Linked DNA regions of Drosophila melanogaster. The protein of the gene in region 2 interacts with the protein of the main gene of each other region in a pairwise test. Each region holds a gene or a part of one and is shown on either strand. Other genes may lie near its edges.

Region 1 (3,922 bases), about 24 Mb from region 2:
CATCCAAGTGGTCCAGAGCCAGGTCCATGAGCTCAACGAAGGAGTGATCCTCTAGGTTCTTGACTGGGGTCACGTTGCCTTCCAGTTGCGTCAAGGAGACGAGCAGTCGCCGCAAGCACCAGTCCAAGCGGTCGAGGAAGTGCTGCCTGGTCATATGCGGTGCCTCCATGCTGATGGTCCGCTCTAGGTGGGTGATGCAGGTTACCACCTGGGTGAGGCACAGGAAGATGGTCTCCACATCAAGGTTTGCGCCACTGGGCGCCACCTCCGGCAGCCTAGCCTTCAGATCGCTGGCGAAGTCCAGGAAAGTGGCGCAGAACTCGTTCAGCCAGCCAATGTTGCCGGTGCTGCTGTAGCCCTCTGCAATCAGCTCACTGCAAGTGTGTAATTGGGCCAATAGCTGTTCCATGCTGTTCTATCAGATGTGCTCCGGGAAACAGAAATGTTCAACTAAGTTCTGGCGGACGACGCAACACCTTTATATACTTTGCCAAGCGCACAGGTAGAAAGGACCTATTTTGGGGATTAAAAAACATCTGCCTGTTTTATTGCCATACCCGCGAAAATTCGCGAAATCCGCTACTTTACCTACTGGGGTTCCTGGAAAATGGGCGAAGAACGGCAAAGAACTGGTACTTTCCGTCAATAATTGTTTAGATTTAATTTTATGATACATACGCGCGCTAATGCACCCATGAGCTGGGCTTCTTAGATTAATCTAGCAAAGGACTACCCTAAAAGAACGTGACGGTGGCTTCCTTGGCCTCCGCCGACTCTGGCTTCTCGACCGGCTGGTGGACCCGCTTGTGCACCTTCAGGGTGTACTTGTCCACGAACGATTTCTCGCAGTCGGGGCAGGGGTAGCGCGGCCGGTCCGTCTGGTGGGTGCGCAAGTGGTGCTTGTAGGTGCGCTTGGTCTTGAACTGCTGGTGGCACACCTCGCAGATCAGGGCGTTCTCCTCGGCGTCGTGGCGCATCAGATGGTTGTACATCAGCCAGGAGAGCGAGAAGCGTTCGCCGCACTTGTCGCACTGGTACTTCTTCTTGTCCCAGTGCACCTCCATGTGGCGCAGGACGTTCCGCTTGTGCGAGAACTTTTTGTCGCAGTAGCGGCATTCAAGTTCTGTTTTGCCCTCGTGCAAGTTCATATGCAGATCGAGTACCTCGTCGTCCTTCACTTTCAAGCCACACACGTTGCAGGTGGCCTGCTCGCTCTTCTGGCAGGTGTCCGCCTTGATGTGCCGCTCGAGCACCTCCTGGCTGGAAAACATCTCGCCGCAGATATGGCAGGGTATCTCGGTGGTCTCGGTGAAGAACTCCTCCTCCGACGACGGCATGCTGTCGTCCGGCTCGCTGAACTGGAACTCCTCGTCCAGCATCTCCTCCTTCATGAATTCCTCGCACTCATCCTCCTCGCCCGGCTGCCTTTCGGGCTCCTTGAGGGCGGTGGCCTGGACGATCTTGAAGGCCGGCACCTGGACGCGGGCCCTCTTTGCCGCCTGTTGCTTGGTCTCCGCCTTGCCCTCCACCTGCCTGCAGCCGAGCAGTGCGTCCGCAATCTGGCGCTGCACTTGGCTGAGATTCCTCACCAGCCTGTCGTAGTTGAAGAGGTACTCCAGGCAGTCCCGGCAGGCGGCCGAGTTGGGCAGGAGCTCCAGCCGCTGGTTTATGATCTTCTCGAAGTATTTCAGTATATCCTTGATGGGCTTAAAGGTTCCTGGCACAATGCAGCCTGTGAAAAAGTCGGCTATCAGGACTTTCGAGTGCGGCGTAAGCGAACGTTACCTTCTATCAGCTGGAACACCCCCACGGACTTCTCCTTGCCGCAAACGAAGCAAAACGGACGCGTGGAGCTCATCTAGTCGCCGTGGAATCCAATCGAAAATTCGGCTTAAACAATTTAATTTGTGTATATTTTGTTGTGAACGCCAGAGCTGTGCCGATAGTGCCGATAGTATCGACTGCGTGCTGTCGGCGTAATCGATAAATTTGCTGTCACTGATAACAACGTTTTCTTTTTGAGTTTATTAATTATTACTAAAATATACTGAGTAGTACAAAAAACGTTTTCCCAAATGTACTAAAGAAATAACTGAATATTATAATTTTAATAGTATCGATACATAAGGTGAACGAGAATAAAAGTATCTGGTCACATTGCTGGACTAAAGCAGCGTTTTTGGAAAATTTGCCGGTTGGTAAGACATTAAATTCTGTTTTCAAACACTTTTCCACAATGAATCGCCTCCAACTGCTTTCCAAAGGACTACGACTGATTCACAAAATGTCCGAGGAAGCACTTGCCGGCGTGCCACTGGTGCACATCAGTCCAGAGGGCATCTTCAAGTATGTCATGATCAATGTCTTCGATGGAGGAGATGCTTCAAAGGCGGTGATCCGCGGATTTGCGGACTGCACATGGCATGGTAAGTCGGATCCTCATCACCCATCAAGTGCCCACTTAGCTTGGTTACTGTCCCACAGCCGACATCTTCGAGCGCGAGGAGGAGGTCTTTAAAAAACTGGGGCTGCGGGCCGAGTGTCCTGGCGGCGGTCGCATTGAACACAATCCCGAGAAGAAGTACTTGAAGGTCTACGGATACTCGCAGGTGGGTCTATTCCCTTGAGTAAAGGGGTCGCTGGGCAGTGGATGGACTGATGTATCTAACTACTTGAAAAATTTTCTGGAGTTCTAATCAAGTCTTTCTATTTAAGGGCTTTGGAAAAGCTGATCACGCGCAGACCAAACGCATCCTGGCCACCAAATACCCGGACTACACGATCGAAATCTCCGATGAGGGATATTAGCTGCAATCAACGAGAGAAGACTCCACATAAGCACACTGACATGAATTTATACCATTGGCTTTGATCCTGTGTGCCATGATTTTATTGGAAATGGCATTTAAAATTGAGAAATGCTCTGAAAGGCAGTTAGTCTGTAGCTTTGCAACTGCTCGCACTAAACCTTTTCGGATCTAAATTAATCAGTTTGTACACAAATTTCGTTTCTTTTCCTTTGGTTAAATAAAATGAAAATGTTCAAGTCATTGCGTCTGCTTCCTCATATTGTTTCTCCGTTTCGTAAGGCTTAGGAATATTCAATATTAAGATTTACAAGCCCTAATATACTTGGTTTTAGAAAAATGTTACTCAACCGATTTGATAAGTTTGGTAGGCGTTCCCCGGGTCAAGATAACCAAGGGTCAGAATCGTTATTTGTTGGTGAATATTCATACGCATGGCTTCACGAAGTATGGAAGAGTTATTGTCCGTGGCGCCGATGTTGACAATCACTGTGAGTTTCCACTGCTGGACGCTTAACCTTGAGCAGTCTTACAAATCCTTCTTTCAGTGGCGGTCTTCGACTCGATTTTGGAGGAGCTGGAACCCGAGGGCATATGTGCCAAAATCCTCGGTGGTGGAAGGATTCTCAACGAGGCAGAAAATAAAAAAATTAAGATCTATGGCACCTCCAGGGTAAGTAGAGGATCCTTGGTCCTTGAAGCACCGGCTAATGGTTCTTGATGGGTCTCCCTAGACTTTCGGCGGTGCTGATCACACAAGGACAAGGAATATACTTCAAGCGTGGACCACTTATAAGGACTTTAAGATAACCGTTAAACAATAAAGTTGCATAAATTTCGAAAATGGAAATTCAGTACTAATAAAAAGAAAATAGAATATAAAAGTAGCGCTCTTTCAATATTATTAAGGGGTAATCGAACAGGCGATTGTAATTGGCGGAATATGGTTGATATTTCCATTTCTGGAGAGAGTAGAAAGAAGAGTAATTTTGCATTTATAGTTTAGTTCATACAAAAATTTCTTTCACAAGATACAAGGGCTTAGTACTTTTTGAATGATCACATGTGCTCCGATTTTCGTGTCAGTCTTGAATTTAGCATACGACCGGAAGGCT
Region 2 (3,922 bases):
AAAACAAAGAACAGCAGACCATTAAAACAGCAGATAATTAAAACCTAAAAATCGGTTGTAGTGTAGTAGAGTAAACATGGTCAGCTGATCGCCTGCATCTTATCGATATTCGATAATTCGATCTGCAACTCATTCTACGGGTTCCCTTTCCCCACTCCATCCGCTTCTTTCCTTCTGGTTCGCTCTCTCAGCTGTTGTTTTGCTTTGTTCCTTCTTGTTTTGCACTTATTCGGGTGCAGTGCAGTTAACAGGAAAAAGCTCTCGAATGACGAACAAATGCACACAGACACCGAGTTATTCTTGTAAAATATGTAAATTATGGCAATTAATTGCAATTTGGCTCAAACGGACGCACAAAACAACCAAAGCGTGAGGGTTGCTGACGTTCTTAAAAAAACAATAAAGAAAATGGCAGCAGGTGTATGTAGTTGCACTTGTTGTAAAGGCGGATGGGGAAAGGGGTGGAAAAAGAAGACGGATGGAATTTCTGCAGTGAAAAGGGCGTCGTCGGATCCCCTGGCGTTGGTGTGCTTTAAACTATAACTAACGGTTAATTAAACCATACCCTACTCACACTCACCTTATATTCTTTAATCAATTTCCACAATGGTCTCCAGTGGGACTGTGTTGCGTGTGTGTGAGTGTACGTGTGTGAAGTGTTATTGTTGCCTGGTTGTGTGCGCGGTGTGTTCGTGTTTTGGCTTTAATCAATTGTAAACGGGCACGAACACACAGGCTCTGCAAATTATTTTACATCAGCTGTAGCTGTATCTGTTTTCAAATGTGTTTATGTGATTGTTTTTATTTGCAACAGCAACAATAACATTTGTATCGCTTCTTCTTTATTTTCGCTCGTCTGCTGCTTCCTCTCTTTCAACGCCACTGTGTTGTTTTATTCTCTTCCTCGCCTTCCACGCTCTTCTTATTTATTTTGTATGGCTCTGCTTCTTCTCTTGCCTGCGTATTACCTATTACTTTAAAAACTATTTTCGTTGCGTATCAAATGTGCAAAAAGCATTAACTCGACTCTTCTTTTAGTCCCAATGTCTATCAATATGTTCGAGCAAGGAAATATTTTCCAAATAATTTATGCTGTTTTCGTTTTTCTCATTTCCTTCTGTTCTTCGCTGTTGCCCTCCTTTTCTTAATCTATTTCTTTGTCTATCACAATTGCGTTGTTGTTGCTACTGCTGCTGCTGCTGTGAGTGTTGTTGTTGTTGTTGTTAGTGCTTGCTTATGCTTTCTGTTTGCTGCTGCTTGTTGTTGTTGGCAGTTTTACTTTTCGCGTCAGTTTTTTGCCATTTACACGATGCGGGCACGGGAGCCTTTTAGGTATTTGGAGTCACACAATTTCACTCACGCATTTTGTTGCTTTGCTTAGATTTCTAATTAAATTAAATGGTATAAAAATTAAATAACGCACTTCGTTCTCACTTTTTTTTGTCTTTGCTTATGCCTCGCGATGTGAGAATGACAACATATTTTCAAGTTGATATCGATAACAGAGCTGGTGCGGAAACGATACTCAATAGCTGCCAACTTGTTTTTAAATGCCCGGCCTCCAGTGCGACGTATTAATTCTAAGAGTTACAAAATGTCCAAATGATTTTTATGAACATTATTTAAATTAAATTTAAATATCTCAGGTTAATATTGGGGTCTCCATTTAGTATTTGTGGCTTCAAAAGTTTATTTAGTGTGTATATCCCCGCATTAACATTAATTTTGGTTAAGTATTTGTTGCACCTTGCTTCTTACACCAGCTTACACCATTCTGTTTAGCCCTTGAGAATACCATCAACTGCCCAGAGAACCCTGTTTTTAGTCCATCCCTATTCGTTTCGTAAATCAAACCTATCGAAAGTCGGCCGCCTCTAGTGAAAAGTGCAAATAAAATAACCCAATAGAGTTTTTATTTTAGCAAATAGCGCAGCATCCGCACATAAAAAGTCACAGCATTTATTATACTTAAGTAGCATTAGCAGCGGTCGAAAGTTAAGGTGGCCCAAGTCCCTACAACAAACCGATACGGGCACCCATCAAAATCTTCCTCCTTAGCACACCTCCCCCCCCCCCCCCCCCCATTCTCATCTAGACACATTCACACTCACACCCACACTCATGAAACACTCATCTACGCAAGGGACACGGGCGGCATTTTCCTTTTGCATTATCCTGGGCGATTCTTGGGATGTCTCCTTAGGGTCTAGCTCTATGCTTGGGAGTCTTACTTGGTAATAGACACACAAATATTACTTTCTGTATTTTGCCTCATTACATTGCACTGTTTCGAAACGAAAAACCGAAAAAAAACACTTTTTCAAAATGACCCACATCCAGACTATAGAAAATGTGGCAGACTGCATTCCTTTTTACTTGCCGCACAGCTTGTACCTCAAGCCGCTGGCCAAAATGCAAATCTCCGTGTCGCTGCCGACGATCAAGTCCGGCAAATCCGTATCTAACCTGGAGATAATGGACAAACTGGGCGCCGAGCTTAAGCCGGACAAGTTTCTCCTGCTCAAAGTAAGTTAATAATCTTATCTTAACTCTGTGCATGCCAAACTACACACAAAAATAACATTTATTTAATTTAAACAAAATATCTAGAAATGTAAGTATGGATACGCATCCACTTCATATAATTTGAATCGAATTTCCATTATCTGTATGCCCGAACAGGTCTCGAAAAGCACTGTAAACACCATCCGATTGGAAGCTGAGCTGGACGAGCGGAAACGTCTTAGGGCGGCCATCCAACGATTGGACGGCATTTCTCTACGCATCTCCGGCTTTAGTGAGTCCTTCCGAGTGCGTTGTGCCGAGTCTAAGGATGACTTTCCAACGCGACACGACTGGGACTCATACTTCCGGGATGCCAGAAACATGGATGAAATGAAGGCCGGCGAACGTCCGGACACCATTCACATCAGCCATCTGCCCATGCGTTGGTTCTGTCCGCGTCACTCGGAGCACGAGGAGAACGTCAAGCCCAGCGAGAACATCTTTAAGCGAATCTTTGAAAAGTTCGGACGCGTCCGGATGGTTGACATACCTATCTGTGATCCGTACCGAAAGAGCATGCAGGCGGACATTAACGGCATGCGGACGTTTAGCTTCGAGCAGGATGTTCTATTCGAAGGGTAAGTTTCGAATAAGATACGAATACTAAGTTCGTGTAGCTAACACTTTTTTTGGACAGATATGTTCAGTTCGAGGAGTACTCAAGCTTCGTCCGGGCCATGGACGAGTTCAGGGGCAATAAGTTGGTCCGAAAGTTTGTGGACAAGACTCAAGCCATCAACATTTGTGTGAGCTTCGACAAACAGAAGCATCTCAGTGACTCGAACATACAGCGCCGAGAACGGATTCGGAAAAAGTTCATCGCGAAAGCCAAGGCCGAGGACGAGGAGCGGGAAAAACTTAAAAAACAGCAGGAAGAGGAATTGGATCGCGAAAGGTTTGATAACTTTTTAGGCCGGAAAACGAATACAGTAACCAAATGGCAATGCATCTATCAGATCTGCTTAAATCTTAATTTTTATTCTAACTTACTGATCTTCAGTACATACTTATGTACCTTAGAAGAAAGTTGATTACCATTGACTTATATTAGAATTAGAAATTGAAATATATCGCGTTTAGTATGGCTGCCTTTCTACTGTTTTCATATCCAGCCATTTTACATTTACTTATTTTTGCTTCTCACCTGGCGGCCGCTGGTCGAGGCGAGCCTTAAGCCAACCGTTCTCTGTATCTTCTAGACGAACAGTTAACAAATATTTATTATGCATAACAAATATATCAAAAGCAAAACAAAACACGCAACATTGCAAAAAAATTACAGGCAAAAGCAAGAAGAGTTGAAAAAAGCGGAAGCGGAAAAGCAGCGTGAACGCGAAGAAAGACGCAAAGAAAAGCA

Evidence for each region.
Region 1: the proteins of Xe7 (region 2) and Sry-alpha interact in a two-hybrid assay, tested with the Drosophila melanogaster proteins (one large-scale study listed by BioGRID).

Annotation. Positions count from the first base shown.
Region 1 is NT_033777.3:30,037,749-30,041,670, reverse strand, and holds the start of Sry-alpha (serendipity alpha), read right to left. Parts: upstream 1,953-3,922; 5' UTR 1,859-1,952; coding exon of another isoform or gene 1,786-1,858; intron 1,733-1,785; coding exon of another isoform or gene 735-1,732; 5' UTR 410-734; coding exon 1-409. Other genes in the region: Sry-beta (serendipity beta), read right to left, coding at 735-1,732, 1,786-1,858; janA (janus A), read left to right, coding at 2,237-2,426, 2,485-2,609, 2,716-2,808; janB (janus B), read left to right, coding at 3,033-3,084, 3,143-3,298, 3,356-3,480, 3,542-3,631. UniProt on the Drosophila melanogaster protein: Required for the cellularization of the syncytial blastoderm embryo. Involved in the localization of the actin filaments just prior to and during plasma membrane invagination.
Region 2 is NT_033777.3:5,667,231-5,671,152, reverse strand, and holds the start of Xe7 (Xe7), read left to right. Parts: upstream 1-1,818; 5' UTR 1,819-2,325; coding exon 2,326-2,526; intron 2,527-2,682; coding exon 2,683-3,143; intron 3,144-3,202; coding exon 3,203-3,460; intron 3,461-3,764; coding exon of another isoform or gene 3,765-3,847; coding exon 3,848-3,922.